Cricetulus griseus: one gene and its partners. The protein of the gene in region 3 purifies or fractionates together with the protein of the main gene of each other region. This does not show direct contact. Links are inferred from orthologs where the notes say so. Each region holds a gene or a part of one and is shown on either strand. Other genes may lie near its edges. The genes, in order: Usp11, Kdm3a and Tceal1.

Region 1 (3,648 bases), about 82 Mb from region 3:
CACAAATCTGATCTGGTGTGCCCACATTTTCTCCTGAAGTATCAACACCTTTTCCCTCTACTTGCTCCCCGTTCTTGCTTCTTTCCTTTGGTACTGCCATTTCCTCCTACAGAGATACTGACATCTTTCCCCAATACTTCTACTGCACTCACACTGCCAACCCTTCCCCTTCTCTCTCCCATTTCCCTGTCCTCCCTCCTTCTCTGTTCTCACTTGGGCCACCTCACCTCTCCTCTACCTCTTTCACTGGGCCCTACTACCACAGTGCCTCAGCAATGTGCCACAGCTCACGGAGTACTTTCTCAACAACCGCTACCTGGAGGAGCTCAACTTCCGGAACCCTCTGGGCATGAAGGGTGAGCTTGCTGAGGCCTATGCAGATCTGGTAAAGCAGACCTGGTCTGGCTACCACCGCTCCATTGTGCCGAATGTCTTCAAGGTGTGACTCAACCCCATGGGCTCCCACTTTCTTTTCTCTTGCTTCTCCTAACTCCTACTCACTCTACCACCCGACTGTCTCCTCAGAACAAGGTTGGCCATTTTGCATCCCAGTTTCTGGGCTACCAGCAGCATGACTCACAGGAACTATTGTCATTCCTTCTGGATGGGCTACATGAGGACCTCAATCGAGTCAAAAACAAAGAATATGTTGAGCTGTGCGATGGTGCTGGGCGCCCGGATTTGGTAGGCTACCCATTAAAGCTACAAGGCCTTAGGAATTCTCTGGTTTCCCTGGTCTACCTAACACCTTACCATTTCCTCCGTTCCCCTACCTTGAGCTTTACCCCACCCTTAGTCATAGCAGCATGTCTGTTCCCATAACTTTGGAGTTAACCCCAATCAGGCACCTATCCTTCATAAATCCCAGCTCTGAAAGTAAACATAGTTTCCAGATAGACCTAGATGTTGTTCTGCCACTAAACTTCAACAGTACCTTTCCCCCAACCACTATGAATCCATCCCCACCCTTTCCCTCTGCTAACACACCATGAAACTTGTCAACAGGAAGTGGCTCAGGAAGCCTGGCAAAACCACAAACGACGAAATGATTCTGTGATTGTGGATACTTTCCATGGCCTCTTCAAGTCTACGCTGGTGTGCCCTGATTGTGGCAATGTGTCTGTGACCTTTGACCCCTTCTGCTACCTCAGTGTCCCACTGCCTGTCTCCTCCAGGAGGGTCTTGGAGGTCTTCTTTGTTCCCATGGATCCCCGCCGCAAGCCAGAACAGGTGGGGAGGGAGTATGGGAACACAATGAAGGATATGTAATCAGAATTTGATTACTTTCCCCGGAGTTTTCTGCATGAAGCTACCGTAAGCTCTTTTGATCGTCTTTGGATCTTCTTTCTCCCTCAGCACCGGGTTGTGGTCCCCAAGAAAGGCAACATTTCAGATCTGTGTGTGGCTCTGTCCACACACACAAGTGTTGCACCAGACAAGGTAAGACTTTGCAGAGGGAGACTGGGTAGGTAGGATTTGAAGGAAGAAGGTCCTGGCACATGCACTGTTCTCATGCCCCTGTTCTATCCCTAGATGATAGTAGCTGATGTCTTCAGTCACCGATTCTATAAGCTCTACCAGCTGGAGGATCCTCTGAGTAGCATCTTGGATCGGGATGATATCTTTGTGTGAGTGACAAGATTAAGGGGAGTGGATAGAGGAAGCTCCTTCCCCTTTTGTTTTGCCTTGCTGGGGATGGAACCCAGAGCTCCAGAGCATGTTAGACGACTACTCTTAATATTTGATACTTAGTACTTGCAATTCAGTACATATACCCATAAAGAAGTAAATAAATATATAGAGAGAGCCAGAGACAGGGAGATGGTCTCCCTATGTAGCCCTAGCTGACCTGGAAAAACAGTGCCTTGCAAATAGAAATTTTCTTTGTAAACCAAAGTGTTTTCCACAGGAAAAATGTTTTTTTTTTTTTTTTTTTACAAAATATTTTTTTTAAGAATTTATTTACTTATTATGTATACAGTCTTCTGCCTGCATGCAGATCCCATTCAAGGCAGTTGTGAGCCAACATGTGGTTGCTGGGAATTGAACTCAGGACCTCTGGAAGAACAGTCAGTGCTCTTAACCACTGAGCCATCTCTCCAGCCTAGGAAAAATGTTTTAATCTTTGTTTTTTTTTTTAAATTAACCCCCTCAGTATTCCCATATTACCCAAGCTCTTCCTAAAACAGCATATAGGAAAAGTGCTAAGGAAGTCACTTAGTAGTTCATAAAATATCAAATATTTCACAGGTTTTTAGACCCTTTAAAATATTTTGGGGAAAGGGTAGACAGATAACTCAGTGGTTAAGGGTACTGGCTACTCTTCCAGAGGACCCAGGTTCATTTCCCAACACCCACATAGAGACTCACAACCATCTGTAATTCCAGTTCCAGGGGATCCAGTGTCCTCTTTTGGCCTCTTGCAGTCACCAGGCACACGTGATACACGGACATGCATATAGGCAGAACACCCATACACATAAAATAATAATGATAAAATATTTGGGGGAGGCAGGCAAGATGGCTCAGTGGGTAAAAATACTTGCACAAGTCTGACAACCTGAACCCATGACGGAAGGAGGAAACTGACTTCTGAAAGGTGTATCCTCACCTCTACATGTATGTCAGTATGTCCATACTCAAACACACACACTAATAACTGAAAAAAACCCTACACTCTTTTGGACTGAGGTGAATGATTGGAGCAACTGGAGGGCAAAGTCAGGGAATCTTTCTTGGGATTCCTTAGTCAAAAATAAATTAATCACCCCTCCCCACATACACACACAGATATGAGGTGACTGGTCGGATTGAGCCTGTTGAGGGTTCAAGAGATGATATCGTGGTTCCTGTTTACCTGCGAGAGCGAACCCAATCCCGAGACTTCAACAACTCCTACTATGGGCTGATACTTTTTGGGCACCCTCTCCTGGTGTCTGTGCCCCGGGACCGGTTCTCCTGGGAAGGCCTATATAACATCCTGATGTACCGGCTTTCGTAAGTACCGCTTTCCTAGGATCAGGGTGGTGTATTTGAGTGAGGAGACCAAGGTCAATAATCAGACTTGGGTTCTGTATTTGGCACATCCAAATGACAGTTCAAATTGAACATGGTAGTAGAACTTCTGGGGCTTTTTCTATTTTTAGACCTCTGGCTTCTCTAATGCTTCTCTTTGGTACTGGTGAACCAAACTGAATACAGAGGCGAACAAGACAAAATAGAGACAATTTCATTTTGTATATAATTGTCTCTACAGAGAGATTTGGATATATTTTTACTAGTTTATTCTTGTATCTAAAATCCAGAGTCCTTACCATGGAAAGGTACGTTATTAGATGAATTTCTTCTTCATTCTAATTCAAAAGTTCATCCTTGCTGGGCATTGGTGGCACACACCTTTAATCCCAGCACTCAGGAGGCAGAGGCAGGTGGATCTCTGTGAGTTCAAGGCCAGCTTCGTCTCCAGAGTGAGTGCCAGGACAGTCAAGGCTACACAGAGAAAGTCTGTCTTGAAAAACAGGGAAAATATTCATCATAAGTCTTCTCAGAGGTCAATTTGAATTCGTAATTGATTGTATATCTGTGTTTACCGGTGGCTTTCGACTTAATCTCCACACTCCTAACTACTACATGAATATCTATCCCCAG
Region 2 (4,211 bases), on a different chromosome or scaffold from region 3:
ACCTTTCCATACGTATGAATAAAATTAACCCATTTATATTTATTGTAAATAGAAATGGACTTATTCCAGACATTTTATCTTTATCATACTTTCTTCTTCTTTCTTTTGTTTTTCTTGTTCCCATATCTGCCTTTTGTTGAAGCGGACAGGTTTCTTCCTTCCATTTCCCACCTTTTAATGGTCTGCATATTATACATTCAACTTAGTTAATTTTTCAGTATTCAAGCTTTAACTTTCTAATGTCATGTTCTCAGGCCAAGCATATTTCAAAATGAACATTTGGTACTAATTTCCGTTGTATATTCACTCATTCCTTAATACATTTTTTGAACTTTTATCTGATGTCCCATTTTCACTATTGTCAAACAGGCAATTTCCAGTCTTTTTATGTTAAGGACTGCTAAATATGATGCTGGGTCAGGCACCAGGCTTCATTAAGAAGTGTTCCATCGTTCATTGCAATTCTTCATTCAACCAATAATCTTCTGGTACAAACCACATAGCCATCTTTTCTCTCTTTTGTCCTTCAAAGTCACCTTCTCTTCCATTGTTACCTTGGTCATCAACTCCACCTTCTTTTTCAGTTTCTTCGTCAAGTCTCAGAGCCCCTTATACCCACTTCACGTTAAGGAAACGCGCGGCACACCGCAGCTGGCGGATCGCTCGCCCCTAGAGTGCACGACATCGTTTTCCATTTACTCTTTCTTCGCTCATCCTTCAAAATGGCGGACCTAGACAGTCACGACCCGCACCACGTGCGCCTGCGCCTCCAGCGGCCATTTCACCCATCAGCCCAAGCTCCAGAGCCCGCCCCTCCCGGCGCCTGCGCACCAGCCTCCGGAGCCGAGTCGCTCCTCCCCCTAACTGCGTACGCCTGAAACCGCACGTCCCTGTACCGTCCCTCCCCCGCAGGCTGTGTCCCGCCCCCGCCCCTTTCCCGTGAGATTCTTCCGCCTCTTGGAAGGTCCGTCTTCGGTCGACATCCTACGCGCTTCACGCGTAGCCCAATCGGCACGCACGGTCCTGGGTCTCCCCATTCAGTCTTATCTGCGAGCCCGTGCGGTTTTCCGTCTGGCTTCAAAGTCGATAACCGATTCGGCCGGACTTTTTTGCGTAGCGCGAGGCAACAAATGGAAGAATGGAGCAGCGGCGGAGGGATCTTCCGCCTGCGTTCTGCGCGCTCTAATGGGGGGTCGGCTTCGAGTCGGGGGGGGCGGGGGAAAGGGAGGAGGCAGCCAAGGAATTGTTTTTTTTTCCTCGCCCCGCCCTCTTCAGAATAGCCAATAGGAGCGGACGGTCTCTTTAGCTGCCCCGCCCGGCCCCCGCGGTTCAGCCAATAAACGGCGGCAGCGGCTCCGAGGGGGCGGGCCCGGGAGGCTGTGCGTGTCTTGTGAGAGAGAGCTCTTGAACCAAGTCAGAGCTGGAGTCGGCTGGGCGGCTGGGCTCTGTTGCCGCCGTCGCGGGTGACTCAGGGAGGCGGGAGGCGGGGTAAGCGCGCCGCGGGCCTCGGCTGCGGGAGGCCGGGGGAGAAGGGTGAAGGGCCCGCGCGGGCGCTCGCCGCGTCGCCTGGGTTCGCGGCGCAGGCCGGGCGGGGGTGCGCCCGAGTCGGCGGCCCGGAAGCGGGGGCGGGGGGCGCGGCAAGTGTCGAGTCGCGAGCTAGTCCACGGCGGCTCCGAGGCCGCCCGGGGCGGGGACCGGCCGCTGGGACGGTCCCTCTGCTCTGGGGGAGCCTTTTCTTTGCTGGGGCGAGGGGACGGACACTTAGGAAAAAGCTCTGGCGCTGCGGCTCAGCCCTCCCTTCTCTCCCTCGGCGTCCAGCTTTGAAAGGTTTGGAAAAAGCGAAAGTTGGTAGGGCGAGAGGGTCACGCGGCACTCGGGCCGGTGTTTGCGGCGGGGGAGGACAGGAGGGGGGTGGGGAGGCGCGGGCGGCAGCTTGGGGTGCGGGGTCCACCCGCGGGGGTGTCACTCCACCGGTCCCCGTCGGCGCTTCGGCTCTTCGGGCCGCCTCCGACCGCGGCCGCCCCCATCGCATTTTGTTTTTGTGCCTTTTGCAGGGAGGAGCCCTTCCTGCTGGCGTGGAAACCATGGTGCTCACGCTGGGAGAAAGTTGGCCAGTATTGGTGGGGAAGCGATTCCTTAGCCTGTCCGCAGCCGAAGGCAGCGACGGCGCCCACGACAGCTGGGACTTGGAGCGAGTCGCAGAGTGGCCCTGGCTGTCGGGGACCATTCGAGCTGTTTCCCACACTGACGTTACCAAGAAAGATCTGAAGGTAAAAAACAAACAAAACAAAACACCCCCTCCTCCCCAACAAACAAAAAACCCATCTCCTGGGGCTGGGCAGTCAGACGGTTTTCAGTTACCTTGGTAACGCGGCAGTCAAACTCCCCTCCCTCCCTTTTCTGAAATGGGCCACTAGAAAGTTGGCATGTGATCTAAAGGTGCAGAATCTAGACCTTGAAAGTCTTTGAAATGTGTAGCGTCAAGGTGTGTTTGGCCTAGAGCTCCAGCTGCCTGAGATTAATAATGGGTTTAGGATTGTTCAGACATGCTTCATTAATGCAGGCGCTGGGTCCCACTAGGACTGTCTGATTATGCCCCCAACGGGAGTAGTATTGTTTATTAGTAATAGGTTAGAGAAGTGGATGACATTTGAAATCATTAATTATCGAGTGCTTTGAAAATAGACTATTTGAGGTGCGGGTGTTGTTCTTTATTTCTTCACTCAACTTTTTGAACTTTACAGCTTGGAAATGAAGTATGAATGTAGAGGGAGGAGCTTAGTTCTGTACGAGTGGGTATTTGCTGGTGTGTGATTAGTGAGGCAGGAGTGAGTTCCTGATGTCAGTGAAGCTGGGTTGGTATGGATAGGACCATATATGGAGGCCTTGGGTGGAGCTGTCCCATACAGGGTGTTTGGGAGGAATGCCTTCAGAAATACTACATGTGGGTGTTTGGGAGGAAGGAGAGAAAGGGAACTGGTGTGACCAGTGAACATACTTTTAATGCGAATGACATTGGAAGCTTTTTCAGTTCCATCTTTTGAAAGGATGAATTCTACTCTCTGATACAAGTATTGGTGTGAAAAGATAGTCTGGAAATAAGCAGTGAGGAAACCATTGTGCCATCAAAGACTCCCTTGTGCAAAAACATCTGAGGAAAGATTCTTAACAAAGACTCCAAAGTGGTAATAAAGGAAGTTTGTCAGGACAGAAGACATTTCTACCCTGAGTAATATACATGCTTTGGGATCTATGCTTCCTTGTGTTTTTACCCTTTTCTTGAAAACTACTCAAAGGAAGCAAGTTTTAGCCATTGTCAGTTGAATGCTGATTTCTGAAACCCTTCATTTGAATACAGACTTGACAGTGCATGCCTATACTATTATGAGTCTTCAGAGGATCATTGGAAAAGGATATTTGGTTATGTATTGACACTTTTCACCAAGTGCCTTGTATTCATCTGCAAGGGAAGAGTGACCACTGGACATTCAGTCACATTCCAAGCATCCTTGTGATCACTAACAGCTACTCTTTTTTGATCATTATAGCAGTACTTTGGGCTACTAAGTATTGTTGATACCATTTTACAGATGGTGATCTTGTGCCTAGGGAACACTAAGTTCATTAGCTTTCGGGCCTTATACCTAGGAATTAGCGTAGTCTGTATTCTCACTTAGGAAGTTTTCCTCCAGAGGCTTCCCCATTACCATCATGCTGCCTGATGAGAGTGGCACCATGCTGCCACAGTGGTGCTGCTCCTATATGCTCGGTGAAGTGTAGCTTTTCTTCCCTCCCACTCATGCTACCAAACCCGGTTTTAGAGATAGTGAGTTGTGTGGGGATGACCAGGCTATTTTCTTAGGCCAATAACCTTTCTACATAGAATGGCCTGTGTACCAGATTTCAGTCATGCTTGTAGTGTTTTCATCTGCCAAGTTGAAAACATTCTAGTACATTTGTTTGATCTAACCTAAATGGGAGCAATATCTCAACTTTATAGTCTTTAGTTCTTAGGAAGATGACAGGAGCCTAGGTATTTCCTTCTAGGATTAAGGACCTGTAAAAGGTCCTTAGTATGTGTTTTCTTGGCCATATCCCCTCCTGCCCCTGAGGTGATAGCTTCACTTTCAGACAAGTCTTTGATCCAGGCTGGCATAATTAGCTACTAAATGGCCGTGGCAGTATTTGAATCCATGTTTGCGAGTGCGCAT
Region 3 (3,790 bases):
CCAGTGGGGGGGCAGGGGAGGAGGAGAGGGAGATGGAACTGGGATTGACATGTAAAACAATATTGTTTCTAGTTTAAATAAAAAATTGTATAATAAAAAGAATTTATGGTTTCTATGAAATCTATTTCTTCCACTATGAATAGTAACTATTGAATGATGCCGATGTATAGAGTATAGAGAGTGAAGAATAATACCACATTGTGCACCAAGTGCTCTCCCACTTCACATAATTAAAAAAAAACTTCTCTTGACTATTTTATATGTAGATGAACACATGAGTGTTTTGACTTATGGCATCCAATGTATAGAGCCATTAGATTTATATACTTTACAGATGTAAATGTTTCTAGAGGTGTAGAATTGGAAGACTATTAATTTATCCCAGAATTTCTATTTATGACATAATTGAGGCATAACTGAGGGTCTCAAAAATAAAAATGGGTTGAAAAGAAAAAAAATGAAAGGTTAACTATCACAGAAATGAAAGATTAAAAATGGGACCTGATGGGGATGTGGGTTAAGCATAAAAATTAGTATTTGAAAGGTACTTTTTTAGATTTATTTATTTCATCTTATTGTGGACTTTACTGTATCTGTGTCTGTGCACCACACATGTGCCTGCTGTCTGTGGAGATATGATCCCTTGAAACAGGGTTATGAATGGCTGTAACGTACTATGTAGGTGTTGGGAATCAAACTCCAGTCCTCTGCAAGAACAAGTGCTCTTAAGTGCTTAGCCATCTCTCCAGTGCCCTTGAAAAGTTTTGTTTTGTTTTGATGACAGAATTTTTCCATGTAGTTCTGGCTGGCCTGGAACTAGCTATGAAGAAGAAGCTACCCTCCAATTTGAGGCAATCCTATTGTCTCTATACCCTAAGTACTGGGATTACAGCATCTGTCATCTTGCCTGTCCTGACCATGATACCTTGATTTATGGGGGTGAAATGGTGAAATTTCAGTGCAGGCTCTAGAGAACGGGGAAAATCTGAAGCCTCAGTAGCTGAGGAAAAGTGGAAAGTAAGAGTGAGACATAACATTGGAGATGCAGCAGGGAGGAGACAATGATCCTGGAGAATCAGATGCTAATCGCCTCCAGTAACCAACAAAAGGCAAATAAAGTGTGTGTGGGCGGGGGGGAGGGTAAGCGAAAATTCCGTTTTGTTTGAGGTAAAAAGATTCTGGCAGGTGTTGGCAAATGGTCGCCAAAGTGCTTACTAGGGATCTGAGCCCAGCAGTGACGCGCGCCCCTCACGTGACCAGGAGCCTATGTCTGCCCAAGTCCCTCTCGTCCCGGTCCGTTTTGCCTGTCCAGACACCGTCTTTCTATTACCCTTTGGTCGAGAAGGAAAGCAGAAGTAAGTAAGTTCCCTGGATCCTCTAGATTTAGTGATTGTCAAAGGTTCCTTGTAACCAGTGGGATCGTACCTGCATGGCAGAATCCCATCTTCCACCTATGCTGCAGCCCCGCCCCGCCTTCCCTCCCCCCTCCCCCCCCCGCCTAAGATTTCGGTGCAGAAAATGGTGGTTTTGGGAGTGGGGTGGGGTACAAAGGACGATGCTCTACGTGAAGTATGACTCAGGTGAACCCCAAGGGAGCAGTCTTTGGGGGCGATTAGCTGGTCCCTACAAAAAGGGGTGTGCGTCACCGGGTCTGTTTCTCCTCCTTCTATCCCCGCCCCCTACCCTGTCTGGCGTCTATCTGTAGATTTGCCCGTGTCACCCAGGCGACTCAGAGGGGACCACAGGGGTGAGAGGTTGGGGTAATGGTGGGCAGTGAGACAGGATCCGAGTCTGAGACCGACCACGGAGGGGAACAGTCTGCGGACTTCACTGCTCCGCCCCTGTCACTGCAGGAGAGGCCTTGTGGCAAGGCCTGCTGGGAAAAATGGTGGTCTTTCGGAAAGGAGGGGGCTGCTCCGCAGCCGCGGGCGGGAGAACCCATGAGCCTCTGAGTAAGCTAAGGTTTAAAGACACTCGCCTCAATCAGGGACAGGCAGGGATTGAAACCCATAGCTGGATCCTAGGGTGTTGATCCAGCTGGCCAAGTATTGTGACTCTAGTCTCCTTTTTCTTGTCTCAAGAATAACTGCTTGAAGAAGAAAATTCTCAGCATGGAAAACTCATGCAAAGGAAATGAAGAACAAACACAGAGCACTCTAAAGACGGATGAAGAGCAACCTCCCGTGGAGCAGTATCCTGAAAATCAGTGTTCTGAGGAGGAGCAGTCCTCAGAGGATCTGTCCTCAGAGGAGCAGTCCTCAGAGGAGGAGTTCTTTCCTGAAGAGCTTCTGCCTGAGCTGCTGCCAGAGATGCTGCTGTCAGAAGATCGTCCTCCCCAGGAGTGCCTCTCAGAGAAGAACCTGTTCGAGGACCGTCCTCCCATGGAACAACCTCCCTGTGGGGTGGGCAAACACAAGCTAGAGGAGGGAAGTTTCAAAGAAAGGCTAGCCCTTTTCCGCCCTCGATTTAGAGGAGAAATCCATGGGAGAAATTTAAGTAATGAAGAAATGATACAGGCAGCGGATGAGTTGGAAGAGATGAAGAGAGTACGAAATAAACTGATGATAATGCATTGGAAGGCAAAACGGAGTCGCCCTTACCCTATTTAATGTGTTCCACCTTTCTTTGTTTTGCTTGATAATAATAGCATTGCTACCTGGACTCTCTGTTTGCATCTTCTTACATGCCTTTTCCCTTCTTGGTTGTAATTTTTGTGCAGTTTTATTTCAGGTGTTTGACTTGTAACTGGCACAGGATTGCTCTTTTTTTTTTTTCCTAAACCTTCTAAAATCTGAGTCCGATCCATTTGCATGGAAAGATATGCATTATATATGTGAGGTGATAAAAGCAAAGGTATATACATAGCATCCCATTTTTGTAAAAGGAAAACACATTTATATATTAATATTCAAAGAAAAGCTAAAAACTATATATGTAAAGGCTAACATTGGTTATCTGTGTGGTAAAGATAATAGGTGATTTTATACTTTTTAAATTTTGCTTCATGTAAAGTCTCACTTTTCATGATGAATACATTTTCTTTATGTTGCATAACAAACAATATAATGAAAAAGTGAAGCAATTCTGAAAAACAAAGCTTATTAGTCAGCTCATAAAGACAATGTGATCCTTAATAAATATTTATCAGAACTTAAAAGTTAATCCTATGTTTCTTCTGAATCTCTTTTCTAAGATTTTTTTAACTGTATTTTATGTCTATGGATGTTTTGCCTACATACAGGTACACCAAGTGTATGCCCAGTGCCTATGGAGGTCAGAAGAAGGTGTCAGATCCCCTGGAACTGGATTTATAGATGGTCCTGAGCCACCATATGGATGGGTGGGATTTGAACCCAAGTCCTCTGGAAGAGCAACAAATGCTGTTAACCGCTGAGCCATCTCTCTAGCCCCTCTTCTGAATCTCTTAAGCAGAAATACAAATGAGAATTTTTATTATCAGTAGGAAAAACATTTTCCACGTTAAATAATAGGAAGACGCACATTACAGTACTGCTGTGGAACTAAATGAGAAAAGGATCCTTTGAGATCTGTTTGTTTTGTTTTGTTTTGGTAGGTCCTCCCAACCTCTGTAGATTCCTTTGGAGCCAAGAAATTAACACCTAAAGAAATCTCTCTGGTGCTCATCCAAAATTCCTGTGAGATTCCAAGTGAGTTTCACATTCTGTTCATGTTCTTCTGTATTCATATGCATTGCCATACCTACCAGGCACAGCTTCCCATCTTCTAGGTCCTGTTGTTTCCACTGGATCCTATTCTGCTAATATCCTCA

What was found.
Region 1: the proteins of Tceal1 (region 3) and Usp11 purify together in Homo sapiens (affinity purification with mass spectrometry; 4 studies listed by BioGRID, counting the BioPlex papers as one, with this or other methods). This does not show direct contact. The link is inferred for Cricetulus griseus from reciprocal best matches to the Homo sapiens genes TCEAL1 and USP11.
Region 2: the proteins of Tceal1 (region 3) and Kdm3a purify together in Homo sapiens (affinity purification with mass spectrometry; 3 studies listed by BioGRID and IntAct, counting the BioPlex papers as one, with this or other methods). This does not show direct contact. The link is inferred for Cricetulus griseus from reciprocal best matches to the Homo sapiens genes TCEAL1 and KDM3A.

Annotation. Positions count from the first base shown.
Region 1 is NC_048604.1:125,522,329-125,525,976, forward strand, and holds part of Usp11 (ubiquitin carboxyl-terminal hydrolase 11), read left to right. Parts: intron 1-265; coding exon 266-439; intron 440-525; coding exon 526-684; intron 685-1,005; coding exon 1,006-1,230; intron 1,231-1,356; coding exon 1,357-1,440; intron 1,441-1,533; coding exon 1,534-1,628; intron 1,629-2,790; coding exon 2,791-2,997; intron 2,998-3,648.
Region 2 is NC_048601.1:63,329,605-63,333,815, reverse strand, and holds the start of Kdm3a (lysine-specific demethylase 3A), read left to right. Parts: upstream 1-1,350; 5' UTR 1,351-1,488; intron 1,489-2,054; 5' UTR 2,055-2,084; coding exon 2,085-2,270; intron 2,271-4,211. UniProt on the Homo sapiens protein: Histone demethylase that specifically demethylates 'Lys-9' of histone H3, thereby playing a central role in histone code.
Region 3 is NC_048604.1:43,693,191-43,696,980, reverse strand, and holds Tceal1 (transcription elongation factor A protein-like 1), read left to right. Parts: upstream 1-1,246; 5' UTR 1,247-1,355; exon of another isoform or gene 1,356-1,359; intron 1,360-2,081; 5' UTR 2,082-2,111; coding exon 2,112-2,609; 3' UTR 2,610-3,162; downstream 3,163-3,790.